2 linked regions of the Caenorhabditis elegans genome follow. The protein of the gene in region 1 interacts with the protein of each later gene in a pairwise test. Each region holds a gene or a part of one and is shown on either strand. Other genes may lie near its edges.

Region 1 (8,442 bases):
TTGGTTTCCCGTCCTTCTATCTGTCAAAGAATTACACAAGGATGCTCAAAGAGCAGTAAGGAAGAGCCAATGAGAAAAGTTACAGGAATGGGGGCGAAAAGGAAGAAATGACGAACGGGGGGAAGAAATGAATGAAATGAACAACTGCCAAAAGGAAAGAAGGTAATCAAGATATGATGGCAAAAACAAAATCAGAAAGTAACAATATATGAGGAATTTTCACACAAAAACACTTAACATTTAGAATTTAATTGGGAAAGAACTATAACTTTGGAGAAGGGCCACCGCAGCCTTGAATTAAAAACAAATTATTTAAGAAATTGCTGAGAGCACTAAAACCCTGACTACAAGAAGACCGCTGCTCGCATTGAAAATTGGCACTGTTTTGTATAACATCGGGCAATTTGAAACAAAAGAATATGACAACAGAAAAGACCGCCAAGAGATCAAGAAACTCTTGGAAGAGCCTATAATTTCATGCTTATGCAACCATAAAACCTCTATATCAGAGTTGCCTAGTAAGCTATTTGCTTACTCGAAAGCCCTACAATAGCCAATATCTGCGCAGATATTCCGATAAAGTGTAAAGGTGTAAAAATGGGGGACCACGACCTAAAAGTGTACTAGCGCCCGGGAGGGAGGTCACACAAAAATGTAATAAAAATCGGGAGGTGTGGTGAAGTGAAGAGAGTTGATGAGGGGGGTCAGTCAGTCAGTCTCTGGTTCCAATTAGTGGATCGGAGATATCTCTATGTCTACGTCTCTCGATAGTTATCATACAATCATCATCACTTTTCCAAACATTCCACATTCAAATTCAGGATAACGTGTGGAAGTGGTGGCTTCAGATGAAGTCCAGTGAAGGGAAGGAGGGCAAAGTACTTACACAGAACACAGTCTGAATTGATCGAAAATCGGAAAGAAATTGGCTGTGCTCAAAACGATCGTCAGTGTTTGTGTAGTGAGTGGGGGTGGCGGGAGAGCATAAGATTTTGTTGGAGGAGGAAAGGAAGGAGAATGAAGACAAATAGTTTCTCTGGTGGAAAAAATGCAAAAAAGTGAAAAAATGAGTGAGAGAAAACAGGATGGAGGGACTGGATTTCAGAGGGGAATATCCCGATTGCACTCGAGCCGGTGCAAATAGACACACGTGGAATGAAAAGAGTGACCAGATTAGAAGACTCTAGCACTTTTCAGGCAGGAGCCGGAGTTTTTGGGTTTTTCGAGAAAATACGAAATTTTTGTATCATTTTATAAAGTGCGATTAGAAATTATCTGAAAATGTTATAAGAAAGAAAATCATTTCATTATATGAAAAATGACTGAAAACAACAAAATAAAGGCTGCAAATGTAAATACATTATCAAAAGTCTGTGACAATTCTCCGTTGATGTTGCATTGGGGGAACAATACGAGATGGCGGAGCACATCCATTTTGTGAATATTTTCGTGGCTCCTGGAAAGTTTATGGAGTATTTGAAAACATACTGTCCATCAATAAATTTAACTTACTTCAAATTGAGTCTGCATTCGAACAGCTGGTTGTGGAGGTTGTGAGCTCTTCCGCTGCTCCGATGCACTGCTCATTCTGGGAATTTTCGAATTTGACTGATGAGCTGGAAGTGGTGGCGGATGTGAGAATGATGTGGATGTTGAGACAACTGGACGTGGAATATATGAAGATGGGGCAGCAGAAGATGATGGAGTATCGAGATTTCCAATTGTTCCAACTGTTATTTTAGTTACATGTGACAGATTATGAGAGGATGATGATGATGATGATGAAGGTGTTAAAGGATCCGAAATAAATGGATTACTGTTGTTTACTGGTTTTTTGAGGTCTGGAGATGTTGGTAATGGAACGTTTTGAATTATTGAATGTGGAGAAGTTGGATCTGATTTTGCATGGGTTCGCTGTTGATCATTGGCTCTTTGTTGCTCAATTATCTGGAAAAAAGTTTGTTTGCATTTTTGAGTTTAAGCTAATTCAGAAATTAAAAAATTTTTAAGTTTTTTAAAAAATTGTATCCGACTTTCCAAAAATGATAGGTTAAACCTTTTGAACTGACTAGTGAGCAAAATTTAAAATTGAACGTTAGATCGATGCCAAATGTTTCATGAATCGAAAAATAAACTCTAAATAATTACTCCAATTTTTGTTGAATTTTTAGCGTGAAATGTACCTGTTGCCTCATTTCAGCTCTCTTTGCATCCCTAATTTGTGCATTTGTCACATGACTTTGCCGTGGACCATATCTCTGACTAGGTCTTCTTTCAAATGAGCATGATTGTCTTCGTGATAATCTTGCTCCTTCCTTATGAATTGTTTCATATTCTGTCCTGCCTCTATACTTAAATGTGCTTCCTAACCGGAAGAACTGAATTTTGCGATTCGCTTGGATTGGGCGAGATTTGAGGCGGAAAAATGCGTGTTGCTCGATGGCACATTTCCAGAAATGTTTTGCCGCTTTTTCAGACGTCAAGTGAAAAACGAACGTGTGCAGCTGGATTTGGCCATTGTTCTGAAAAAGTTACTATTTTTAAAGTTATTTTGCACATTTTTTTCAATTAATAAATTGTACAAAACTGCTACTCTAATCTTCATTAAACTTTTCATTAAAAAAACTCACCGATTGATCAGCATCCTCCTCGACAACCAGTGTAATTTTCTTATTTTTGAAATCCAATTTTTGTAGTTTTTCCCATAAAAAGAGTCCAATTTTCTGTGGACCATCAAATACCAGCATTCCTTGTGGAGTTAAACCCAATCGATATGTATTTCCATCTTTTCCTTCTACAATATGCATATCTACTCCGTACATTTCAATCCATCGTGCCTTATTCAAGTAGTTCAACTCCGCTTGAGCCGGAGTTTGTCCACTGAAAAATGTTATTTTAGTTTTTAGATTGAGAAGCATGAAATTGAAAATAAAACCAATTAGGTAATTTTTTTCTGTCCGAAATGTTTTTATTTGAAACTTAGGCAAATACTGCAATTTTCAAATAAGTGTATTTTTTGTTCTTTAAGATTGAAATTATCAAACATTTGTTATCAAATTTAAAATTGTATCTATGTAGTTTTGATTCTCAAATAGTCAATTTCCTGATTGAAATATTTACGTCTAACCAAGTTTCTCTCAACTTTCAGGTGTCCTCTAATTTGATCCAGCAGAAAATCCCGGGTTTCACACTGATTAGAATATTGATTTCTGGCAAATACCAGAACAATATAATGCATTTCAAAAATTGACATTTTCGGGAAAGTAATATCAAACTCTAAAAGGTTTTCCAGTTTTTAAATTTTTAGACTATATTTTACATGTGCTGTAAAGTTTTCTAACAATCTTTTTTTTAATTTTATAACAAAAAAACTTACCGGCACGCTTTGTACCTCTCCAATATCTCGACTTCCATTTTTTCATCTTGCTCCGGATGAAATCGAAATTCTGAGATAAAGAGGGCTGTATGAAGTTCTGGGTTGTAATCGCCTAGTTCTGCTGAAATTTTTTATGTTTAAAATGCTTAATTTTTTTAGAATTGAAAAAAAACTCACATTGAAGTGCAAAAGCAGCTAGTTCAATTGCTAACTGATGTGGACATTGCAGACGTCCTGAGGAGATATCTTGTTTTATTTGCAAAAAGAATTGATACCTGCAGAAATTTATTTTAAAAAAATACATTACTGATTAAGTATACCTTGTAAGCTCTTCTTTCAAATTGCTAGAAGGTTCCGAAGTAAAGAATTTAACACGAAACCGAAGAGTAAATGGAGGTCCAATTGCCACTTGTTTTGCAACTTTTTTTGTAGGGTCTAGCCAGTGCTGGAAATATAAAAAGGTTTGAAAAAATAAAATAAAGAAATAATTAAATGAATACCTGAACATTGAATGGATCTGTGTACTGCAGGCCAAAATAGTCCCTCTCTTCTAGGTCAAGCGAGTAGAATACTTCTTCGTAAAGTTCACTTCCTACAGCGTTTCTCTGAAAATTTATATTTTGAGATACTAGAATGGATGTTCGAGAATTATAAAAACTTTTTAAAAAATAATTAATCTGCATATGCAACACATTTTGCCACTTTTTTTATTCGCAATAGGTTTATCTATGATTTTTGACTCCATTTTTCTTTGAATTTCAGGCACTAATTTGCCAAAATAGTTCTACAAGAACCGACATTTAATAACAGTTATTTTCAAAAATAAAAAGACCACTCACCGGCACGACAATATTTAAATGTGCTCCATCAAGCAGAAGCACCTTGCACTGAACAAACTTTTTCGTATCAAAGCTTGCATCCTGTGTTTGTGACTTCTGTTGCTGTTGACGATTCCGTGAGAATCTGGCTGATAGACTTCGCAACATCCAGGACATCTGAAAATAACCAAAGAGTTTCTAAGAGTTTAAACCAACTTCTGGATTTGTTTGGCACACAGCTCTGGACTTTTTTAAAAATTGAAACTGTTGATTAGTATTTTTAGAGGTTAACATTTTAATTTAAAAATATTTCATAAACAAAAAATATTTTCAATTTTAAAAAAATCTTTTAGTTTTTGTTTTACTTTCAAAATTGAGAGATTAATTTTGCACATTAAAAAAATTCAAAAAAAACCAAAACTTTACACAACCCAAATTTTTAGAGTTACACTTGTTAGGAGCTATATTTTTTGAGCAGTACTCCAAAACGTCAATGAAGCTAATGATTATATCAAAAACGAATCAGAAATGAACTTTATTAGTGTTTCGAAATTCATATTTTTGAAAAAAAAATAGTAAGAGGGCTCTTACCAAATCAGCTCTTGCAATAACTTCATAGTAAAAAGTAAAACACAAAACAATTCTGAAATTCAACTTTTTATAATAGAAATACAATAAAAGTCAATCAATAGAATTCGACGATTTATGGCGAGCCGGCTGGTTGCCCGGTGCACCGATGTCTGCGTCTCACTATAAACCACTCTATCTCTCTGCTCTTCCCTCTTTTGGCCGGTTACGGTTTTGAACAGAGATGAAGAGCAAACGTAAATAAAGATGAAGAGATCGAGAAAGATGTAGAGACGCAGACAAAGAGATGCGTAAATTAACTTGAGGTTTGATCAATGTTTATCTATATTTTGTCGTTGTTGGGAATGGTATATGGGAATATCTAAAAGTGAGTGTCCGACCGAATCAAATGAATTGGAAAAAAGTAACATGTGTGTGCGCGCAAAGCATCTGTTGCACATCAGGGTCAGCAAAAGAGTTCATTTGGAGCAATAGGTACCAGATGTGGAGCTTTTGGAAAGAGCACCGAAAGAGAATACAGAGAGCAAAATGAAGCTTAGGGACACAGCTAAATTTGAAATGGCACAGGTTTATAAAAACACATTTGCACCAAAATAAGATTTATTGCGTCGGTACATTGGCTGTCTTACAGAATTTTTGAAGTTCTCTTTTCAAATTGCATTTTCTATGCAGTTGTAATCTTGCAATTAAATGTTGCACGACTGACCTTACTACAATTGTGTCAATTTTCCATTTTGTGTGCTCACCCAATGAGCATACAAAATGTTACTTGAATCATATTTTATGCTTGCATGTTACATCTTCATGATTTTAATGTGCTCAAGTCTATATTTTGCAGCATCAAACACTGATGTTCACGCCAAAAAGCTTTTAATAGGTGGTAGGCAGGCATGTAGGCTTAAAGATGACAGTTTTCCAACTCAAATAAACATAGATGTATTCAGTTGGTGAATCGGTAGACGGTAAGTTGCATTAGATTCAACCGAAAACTCACATCTTTTGGCTCTCTTTGAGAGTTCTCATCTTCCTCGTCACTTGACATAATAAAGAATTTCTGTTAAAAACTTAGAATTTCAAAATAAAGTCGAATGGCCGTTTGACTCTTCGAGGGTGAAAAACGAAGAATGGACACAACTGATAATCAGCTGCAACACTCGGAGTGTTGTGTGTCCCTTCTCTTATTCTTATCACTCTTTTTCTTTTCGTTCGATTCTTCTTCTGCTTTTAATGTACCCTTTCTCCACCTACTTTCCTATTTTCAGATTCAGAATTTTATGTTACGACGTGTTTTGTGTGTATTTGTATTACATACGGGGTGTCGATTTTTTGAGGAAAAGTGTCCTAAAAGCTGTTGATATTTTGAGTGAACCGAGTGTGTTGATAAGATGATAAGCGAGGAAAAGGGGTGATATAATCGCAAGTGATGACTGATGACTATTGATAGAAATAAGGAAGAAATGACTCGCTTGGAGGTCATCTCGAGAATCTTCTAGGGATTGAAAAAAAGCTTTGGTAAATTGTCAAATTGAAAAAAAAAATTGTTGACAAGTTTTTGAGCATTGCTGCATGTTCTAACCCCAAAATGTTCAAATACAAATAAAACATATTTAAGATATATTAATAGTTGGACAAAAGTACATAATTGTCACTTTTTTTGTTAATTAATAATTTAAAAGAAAATTTCGAAAAACCTTACTTTTATTGGGAATTGTAATTTCAAATTTTTCGAAAATATGAGGTTATACACCCGAAACAAAACTTACTTTTACAGTCCAATCTCTGATCTTTTTCAGATGTTTCTAAAAAATAGGTGCTCAGCGAGCCGCTGCTCACCGGATATCGTTCGTTTTTTCTGCAAGATTGACAATTGGTTAGTTGGAAAAAGAAGAATCAGTTGAATAAATAGAACGATGCAAAACGGCTGAAATAATAACAAAAAATACATATTGTGAAATATTTGGAGGGGTATGTGTTTCATGAACTGAAAAAGGAAAATAATAAAAAATGAGAAGATTGATACTAATATCCCAATTTATTTTAGATAGAAGAACATTAGAAAAAAGGTCGAACGAATCTTCCAGAATTTGGAAATTTACAAATACGAACTGGAATTTGAAAAAAATCATTTGAATAGAGTATTAATTTTAAAATTTTTATGTACATAGATACAATTACTGAAAAAGTGAAAATGTTTGATTCAACAATTATTCAAATTGGTACATCATACTTAAACTAAAGTACAACAATACTAATAAACAATTCGTTATTATAAAAACAAGTTTCAAATCATTCCTTTAGATTAGGAAGTTTAAAAAAGTGGCTGAAAATTTTGAAAACAAGCTTTAACCCCATTTTTTTTCTAGGTAAAAACAAGAAAAGTGAAAAAAATCTAATATCACAATTGCTTTTTTAATGAAAAATCTAGTTTTTCCTAGTCCTGCATTAACTAGTAGAGAAACTTTGATGTTTGGAAATTCGAAATTTGTTATCCAAATTTCGATTTTCGTGCTAAATATTTAAAACCAAAATCCAACTTTTTCTCGGAGAATAAATAAAAAATGAATAGATATATCATAAAAGAATAACTTAAGACGAACTTGGCCGAGTTAATCGAATCAAGAGGAACGTCCACACCTCCGAGATATCATGTGATTCTAGGAGAGTTTAGAGATGGATCAGTCAAAAAATGGCCTTGTAAAGCGGAAAAGACAGATGGAAAAGGTTGTAGAGACAGGCGGCTGTGTGGAGAAGTTGGAGGTAGGATATGCGAGAATAGTATATGAAGTGGAGAGATTTAGACAGAAATGGGACCCTCGAAAATGAAAAGAATAAGTGGGATGGGACTGTGCGCGAGAATTACAAATGTTATTCGAGTGGGTTGAGGAAGTGATGACTGTGAAAACAAATGGTAAATAAGTTTTGGAGTGAGAGGAGATAGAATTGAAACGCGTAGAGACGCAGGAATAAAAAGTGAATAGAAACTCTGTGTCAAGAAAAGAAATAGTTAACCACATGTGAGTGTTGAAAGTATTTGTTGAATAGAAGTGGATGTTTAGGTGAACAAGGATTTTATGAAAAAAGAGAAAGAATGTTTGAAGAGAAAATGAAAGTTTAAAATTGGACAAAAAAGTATACAGAAGGGTTACTGTATATCTAGTGAACTTTTTTTTCGAACTTTGGAATCGTATGAATTACTGTTCACTCCTGTTATAACTGGTTGGTAGCCACAAGATAAATCGTCGATCTGAGCTTTTTACCATATATCATCTAGAAACTTCCCTAATATTTACAAAATATAGATTTTATAATTCTATGCAGCCGATTGTTAATGAAATTCTCCATTTCAGACCACCCGTTTTTCTGTCTCGTAGGAAAAGTTGGTCCGTGCAGTTACAATCGAATAGCCGTTTTTAAACCAAAAAAAGTTATTTTAGCATATTATCTAAAAATTCTTTACAGTTAAAAAAAACCAATTCATAGACCAAAAACTATATACAAATGTACGTACAATATAAAAAATAAATCTCATTTTGTGGTTCTCTTCTACCAATTTATGCGGGTAAATGAGTAGGTTTGTGGTTGAGTGGGGAATGAATCCGAAATGAATGGCTTCTGTGTCTGTGGTCACACACACACACACAGAGACAGGTATTATAATTA
Region 2 (7,316 bases), on another chromosome or scaffold:
CGAGATGTTTGAACAGAATATCCGAATTCTACAAAAGGATAAGCCCAATGCGGGGCTCGAACCCGCGACAACCAGATTAAGAGTCTGGTGCTCTACCGACTGAGCTAACCGGGCCGCGAAATTTGAAGATGATTGAAAAAAATAAATAGTGAAAAATGATATCGTTATCAAGAAAACGTAGCATGTGGCGTTTGACCTTCATCATTTGCAGACGCAGGTTTGCTGGTGTAATATCAATGGGAAAATGAAATAGTTTTCACCGATTAAAATTTTAACTGTAATAATAATTATTATTGGCTGATTTCATTAAAACATAGTTCAGAAATAAAAATTCATTTGTCTTTTTAAGATCAGCAACTTTATGATTCATATGATCGAGCGCAACTTGTTATAGACCTATGTATTCATTAATAGTTCCTCCTCTAGGTGCCAATGCTTATTAGGGGTCAAAACGTTGTGACAGTTGTTCAAACAGGAAACAGATCGGATAAAAGTTAGCCAGTGAGGGCCCACAGAACATTCAACTTTCAACTCTCACTACCATGAACACCTTCTTCGTTTTAACAATTGTTTTCTTTGTTTCAAGCGCTGAAATGTGCTCCGACTCGGCTTCAAAGTAAGTTACAGATTATTTATTCAGTTTGAAATTTGAAATTTCATTTTTTTTTCTTCCAGCTGCGCGAACTGGGTTGCCAATGGGTTTTGCACCTCTACATTCTACACTACCGCTCAGAAAACCCAATACTGCGCATCAACCTGCTCTTTGTGCTCTGATTCTTCAGATTCTAGCTCTTCATCGTCCACTGCTTCTACAAGTTCTTCTTCGTCCACAGCTGCAACGTCCAGTGATGATTCTTCTTCATCTTCTTCATCATCTTCCAGCTCCGCGTCTTCAACATCTTCTTCAGACACAACAACAGCTGACAGTTCTTCTACTACATCCTCTGATTCTTCAACAACCTCTTCCAATTCTTCATCATCCACTTCATCCTCAGATTCCACATCTGTCGTATCTTCTACATCTTCCTCAACCACTACCACATGTGTAGATTCTTTTTCCACGTAAGACTTGATTATTTGCCACTTGCAAAATAAAAACCTTCTAGATGTACTTCCTGGGCTGCTAATGGATTTTGCACTTCTTCCTTCTACACTACTGCTATCAAAACTCAGTACTGTGCAGCTACCTGCTCTCTGTGCTCTTCTTCCAGTGACTCTTCTTCGTCGAGCTCTACCGCTTCTACATCATCTAGTTGCACAGATTCAGCTTCATCGTAAGATCAATCAATTCTACTGACTAGCCTAAAACAAGTTGAACTTTCAGATGCTCATCTTGGGCGGCCAACGGCTTCTGCACTAACAGCTTCTACACAGATGCTCAACGTGAACTCTACTGTGCTAAAACTTGCGGATTATGCTAATTTCATCGTTCCTCTTTTATTGTAGTTTGTCTCTAGTAAACTGAATGCATATCAAAACCATGTCTTCATAATATCTGTTGTGTGTTGTTTGAGAACGGGCCATACCGATGAGAGAGTGCACAAAATAAGAGAGTTTTCTCTGCTACATGGTGTGTCCTCCCGCCCGCCCCTCCTCCACGAGAAACACGCCAGCAAACCAATAATGCGCCTGCAGCCACCGACCTGCACCGATCCCTCTTCATTTTTTTGAATTTTAGTCGTCTATTTTCTAGTATTACCTTTAAAAAACAAGGTTTTTATATATTTTTTTTCCAGAAATGCAGAAAGCGGCGCCGCGGCCCATCATCAAACGGAGTTATCTCAACTTGGATGCAATTTTCGGCCATGTCTTCTCAAATTTGACAGGAGAGCCAGTGACTCCAACAAAAGTAAGTTTTTTAGTTTAGAAAACCTTCAAAGTACTAAAAATTTACTTAAGATTGCAACGTTCTACCTTCTTCGCATTCTTTTTCAAACACACTTTGGATTCCGTCACAAACGTGCTTACTACAAACCATTTAGCCCCGCCGAAAAAGAACGGTAAGTAGTTTGGAAAAATTTTAAAAAAAGAAACCAAATTCATGTTTTAGAATCTTCCATTGGCTGTATGCATTGATGACGTCAGTCGTGGAGCTTTCTTATAAGGACTTCAGAATTGTCACTCGACTTGCATTTGATGACGGCCGTGAAGTTTGTAAAAACTTTTATGCAGCGTAAGTCAAACGATTTTCATTTTATACAATTAAAAAAACATTATAATTTATTGTAAACTATTATAAAAACTAGTCAAACAATTCGACAATAAATTAAATGCAATAATGTTTCTTAGCTCGATTTTCTGGAGCATTATAAGCATAATCAATAATACAAAACAATCCGCTGGCATCTCTCCATTCTTTCAGTATGGAGAAAATTGGCGCCGGAATGGCGGATGTTACTCTTAACGTTGAAGATGAGTTCTACACCAACAAGCACCCAAAGGATCCGAAATTGCCAGCAAATGACACTGTACATGAAGCTATGGACTTGGCGCGCGGAGACATTATCCAGTTTTCTTCCAATCACTCGTTTATGTACAGATGGATGAAACGAGTATGATTTTTCAATCGAAAAAATTTGTTTCAGTTTGATTATATTTCAGCTCCTGGCACAATACACCAAGTCAACTCCTTCAGAAGTGTTCCAGATAAATGCAGCCATGAAATCATGGGTTTTGTCTGCTGTTGAATCAAAGTAAGTGACGAAGCTTTGCTAAAAATACCGAAACTTTTGCAGATATCATCCCGAGTTCAAGGGAGAGTATCTTCCACACTTCATCGACTGTTCTGTCAGAGCAAGGGATTGGGTTGCTAAGAGCATTTACTTCATTCAGGTGAGATACTATTTGAAACTAAAACTCCCATGCGGTCGCCGAGCCAGCCTCACGTCGTCACCCTCGCCGCATGTACAGTGAAGCGCAGACCTCCGAACGTGTCGGCCGCTTCCAGCCCACCACCTTTTCACACTACGTTGCGCACACACCATGCTACTCATTTCACGCTGAGCTGCGGAACCCCGAACGTGTCGGCCGCTTTGAATGACTACCTCTCGAACTTCATTTCACACACACAGCGGCGCGCGGCGACGGCGTGAGGCCCGGATTTTGCGCCTCACTCAGCTGGGAGCTCTGTTTGAAACTGACAAAAGAAAAGTAATAATGTTTCCATGTTTTTACAGAAGAACCCACGTTTTGCCTTCCAATATAACGAGATGCTTCACTACACCCGGATCGTACAGAAGCGACACCCGGACGTTGTTGAAGGGTTCCTGCTAGAGGCCATTGTGCAAGTTCAATTGAAAGATAGCTCGTCGGCTATTAAGGCAATGAAATCGTTTTTCGAGTTGTCCATGTTTGAGTAAGTGTTATACCGTTATACCGCCACCGAGGTTTAAGAACAAAAAAAATAATTTTCAGACTAAATGAGAACATGGTGCATGCCGCAAAAACGCATCGATTGGCAGTTCCAACTCAAACCCCGTTGATGTATGCACCGATTCTTCAAGCCAGAATTTGCAGAATATTTGGAGACTAGTAAGATATATCAATAAAGAGTACATAAATATTCTCATTTTCCAGCCAAATGGCTCGTCTCCTGCTCCACGAGAGTCTCCAACAAGCCCAGCTCCGAAATGATGAGATTTGCCATCAAATGGCCAACATCGAAATGCACACTGTCGACATATTGGGATGCAGGGCGCTGCTTGAGGATAACAATGAAAGTGAGCTCGTCTATTATTTTTTGAATCAATAAGAACTAAGACAACAACAAATCAAATTTGCAGAAACCGCTAAGCACATTGAAAATGAACGGCGAGTTCAGAGAAAAGCCTTGCTGCACATAGACGAGTAAGTTGGATTATCTACTAGTATAGAGTCATAAAACTAATTAGTACATTTCAGTCTTCACGGACATACGCGATCCGGGCCTTGCTGTCTAAGTTCTGAAGAAGATTTTGAGCTTGTCGCAGAGATGGACTCATATGGAAAAATGCTCATGTTGATGAAGATCATTGCAGAAGGAAACTATAAGCTGTGAGCATTCAATCAGAGACGTCGCTTTAACTTTCCAAATTTACAGGATCTACGACAGAGTTGCGGAAACCGGAATAACGTGTCCAGTCGGTAATGATCTTGGAGAACGAGGACGAAAAGTGGCTGCTTATGGAGCTGCTCTGATATCTAGTAACATGTAAGTAGCTCGTTGCAAATGGCCTAGAAACCATTCTGAATTTCAGGATTCATAATGGAATGTATCATCAAGCAAAGTGCGCCGCAGAAAACATGCTGGCAAACAATTGCAGAACCGATGAAACAGACCCCTTCCAGGCTCCTTTTCAGGCCGAACCTTGGGTAAGTACAAGTTAGAACTGTGACAAATAATAAATTGGTGCAAAATTTATATGTATCTAATGAAATTCAAGTATGATGTATCAATTTTCAGGCAATTGGTGCGGTAAACCTATCTTATTCACAAGCTGGAGTCGGAAACTACGACGCGGCACTAAGAACTATTGAGGAAATGCGACAAAATTATCCGGAAGAACTTTCTTGGCAGTCCAACCGTCACGTTGTCATTTGTGCAGCTGTCATCAACTTTGAAAGATTCTTATTGAAAAATGACTACAAGGCTTGTGCTTCTGAAGTTTTGAATCTCGCAGCACACTCTGAACTAGAATGCAAGCTTCGGTGAGTTGCAATTGAAAGTATTACCTCATTTAATTTCTATAATTTTTTTAGACAAGCTCTTCTCCTCGCCGCAGCCGGAAAAGAACGGGCAAGTGTTGAAGTGTTGGAGGGATTGAACGTTGTGGACATTCGTGGAAGAATTCGAATTCACATGCAAACAGGATGCATTTACACGGCTAGTCAAGAATTTAGAAAAGCTGCAAGAGAATTTGCAGACGCCTTGAGTCTTGCTGAGAACACCACACTGAAGGACATTGTGCCAATGGTCAAGAGAAGACAAGCAACTATGCTGGTAAGCATTTTATGTAAAGAAAAAATTGCATGAATTTTTTTACGCCATCTTGATATTTCACTGAAGAATCTACAAAGTGGAGCACTGTCGTTAGGGTTTTGAATCCGTAAATTTTGCGCTGCACTCCGAAAATTATTTTTTATTCAGCCTTAAAAATTGTTTGAAGTGAGATGTTTGAAAACATAAGGTATTGTATTTTTTATAGATGTCACCAGATATGTCAGACTATACTCGCTTACTAGTTAGATAAAATAAACGTTTTCTGAGAACATCGCATTTATCAAATGAAAAACAATTTTTAGAATCTAAATTTACAGATGTGCCATGGTCAGTATGTCGAATGTCTGAAACTTTTGAAAGAATGCAATGAAGGCATTGAACAGTTTGGATCATTTACCGAGAAGGCGTGCTACTACATGACAGCGGCCAGATGTCATCGATTGCTAGGGAAAGATCCGCGGATGTGGTTGAAAAAATCCCGTGCCCTGGTCCGCAACGGGCAATGGCCGGCGTTTACCAAGCTCGTCCTCTCCGAAATTGCTGCTCTTCATGACGTCAAAGGACTGATGCCTGATGAAAATCGTCTGTCGCAGATTTGTGAGCAATTTGGTAAACTGACTGCTGATTGTCCCGGCCGATGCGAATGGCTCCTCATCTGATGATGTTTCAAACCAATATTCTTGTACACACTTTTAAAGTGCTTCATTATCCAATCCCAAAGACCCCCGTCTGTTCTTACATTCAACGATCTTGTTTCAAAACTCAAACAGGTTTATGAGCTTCACAGTGTATTTTTACGAGTCTTTCTTGCTCTATTTGATTTTGAATTTATGAACTTTTTGTAAAAAAATTGCTTTTGAAAAATTGGAAAAAAAATTGAAAAGGAATGTTTTATTGCAATTTTTTTGATTTTATTTTATTGCAGATACCATTTGTGCAGTTTGAATGCTTCTTACCAAATGTCAGAAAACATATTTCTGGTAGCTAAAATACATTTACAACTGTAGCAAAAACGTGTTGTGCAAGTTTTTTAATAGCAATGAGATGTCTATTTTTTTTTAAATTAAATTGAATCATTATCGAAAGTGATTAATTATAGGAAATTACGAAGAATAGAAAGGATTACTTTGTTATTGGATGTTTTACATGTTCTCATGTAAATTTATTGCTAGCCAAACTTATTTGTTGTTTTAAAGCGTGACCTCATTGAATCAAACGTTTTTTTAAAGATTAGTAAAAAAATTAAAAATTAACCGGCTACTGAAAACCCCACCCCCGCAAAATTCCTATTTTGGGTGAAAATTCCGTATTTGCAGTGAAACAATGCCAACTGAAAGCATCACTCCAGTTACTCATGACAACTCAAATAGGATATGTGTACATAATGATTAATTTTGCTAACTTTCCATATCCGTTATAACAAATGCAAACATCGTTTTTGAAAATGGATACTGTTAGGATCAAACACCTGATGATCCCACCGATTTGGCACTTTAATGGATCAACTAACTTTTTGGAAAAGCTGAACAAACGTAAAACAGTTTTATAAAAGGCATTCTATCAGAACGCATTGTCAGAACACATTCAGTTTTTGAATTAAATCAAAAATGTCATCTACTTCTTTGTGCGTCTTGGCTGTTCTTATCATCTTCTCTACCGTAGAAATGTGCATGGATGTTAACCCAAAGTAAGTAAAAATTCAGCATTTGCAATTTTTTATCACTGCTGGAATTGATAATTTTCCAGCTGCGCTAACTGGGTATCCAACGGATTCTGCACCTCATCATTTTACTCTGATGCTCAAAAAACCGAATACTGCCCTGCGTCCTGTAGGCTTTGTTCGGGTGCTAGTAGCACAACTTCCTCTTCGGCTTCTTCGTCTTCTTCAACCTGCGGGGATAGCAACAGTAATTGTGCAAGCTGGGCTTCAAATGGGTTCTGCAACTCCACTTTCTACACTCCTGCTCAAAAAAGCCAATACTGCGGAGCCACTTGCAACCTTTGTGGTGGCGCTTCTGTGGAAACTTCTTCTGGAGTTGCAGCATCAACCACAGCAGCAACTGCTACCACTTCCGCCTAAATTGAATTATTTTTTGTGATTATTGAATGTAGGTAGCAAGCAATAAAGCATTCATTACTTTTAATACGTTCAATTTGTGGAACAGCAACACATTTAGAATGTTTTTTAATTTATTATTTCGAATTTTAATTCAAAAATAGTTAATATTGACATTACTTTAATTTAAAATTGTTTCATTTCAGAACACGGTCTGAAATTAGCTCATCGCTACTCAAACTCCACATGAAGAAAAAACGTATAAAGGAAAACCAAGACAAA

What was found. The genes of interacting proteins can lie anywhere in the genome.
Region 2: the proteins of frm-2 (region 1) and gfi-3 interact in a two-hybrid assay, tested with the Caenorhabditis elegans proteins (one study listed by BioGRID).

Annotation. Positions count from the first base shown.
Region 1 is NC_003281.10:5,975,493-5,983,934, forward strand, and holds frm-2 (Moesin/ezrin/radixin homolog 1), read right to left. Parts: upstream 5,825-8,442; coding exon 5,777-5,824; intron 5,028-5,776; exon of another isoform or gene 4,892-5,027; intron 4,372-4,891; coding exon 4,216-4,371; intron 3,982-4,215; coding exon 3,877-3,981; intron 3,822-3,876; coding exon 3,697-3,821; intron 3,652-3,696; coding exon 3,554-3,651; intron 3,498-3,553; coding exon 3,377-3,497; intron 2,881-3,376; coding exon 2,631-2,880; intron 2,523-2,630; coding exon 2,184-2,522; intron 1,948-2,183; coding exon 1,513-1,947; intron 1,457-1,512; coding exon 1,364-1,456; downstream 1-1,363.
Region 2 is NC_003284.9:14,478,836-14,486,151, forward strand, and holds gfi-3 (Protein gfi-3), read left to right. Parts: upstream 1-1,736; 5' UTR 1,737-1,738; coding exon 1,739-1,849; intron 1,850-1,899; coding exon 1,900-2,000; intron 2,001-2,050; coding exon 2,051-2,173; intron 2,174-2,362; coding exon 2,363-2,552; intron 2,553-2,601; coding exon 2,602-2,693; intron 2,694-2,735; coding exon 2,736-2,832; intron 2,833-3,176; coding exon 3,177-3,355; intron 3,356-3,414; coding exon 3,415-3,531; intron 3,532-3,576; coding exon 3,577-3,719; intron 3,720-3,782; coding exon 3,783-3,846; intron 3,847-3,900; coding exon 3,901-4,032; intron 4,033-4,078; coding exon 4,079-4,189; intron 4,190-4,235; coding exon 4,236-4,350; intron 4,351-4,441; coding exon 4,442-4,686; intron 4,687-4,737; coding exon 4,738-4,978; intron 4,979-5,295; coding exon 5,296-5,637; 3' UTR 5,638-5,867; downstream 5,868-7,316. Other genes in the region: M163.11 (ShKT domain-containing protein), read left to right, coding at 543-616, 676-1,062, 1,107-1,274, 1,325-1,421; M163.8 (ShKT domain-containing protein), read left to right, coding at 6,586-6,665, 6,725-7,058. UniProt on the Caenorhabditis elegans protein: Probable component of the anaphase promoting complex/cyclosome (APC/C), a cell cycle-regulated E3 ubiquitin ligase that controls progression through mitosis and the G1 phase of the cell cycle.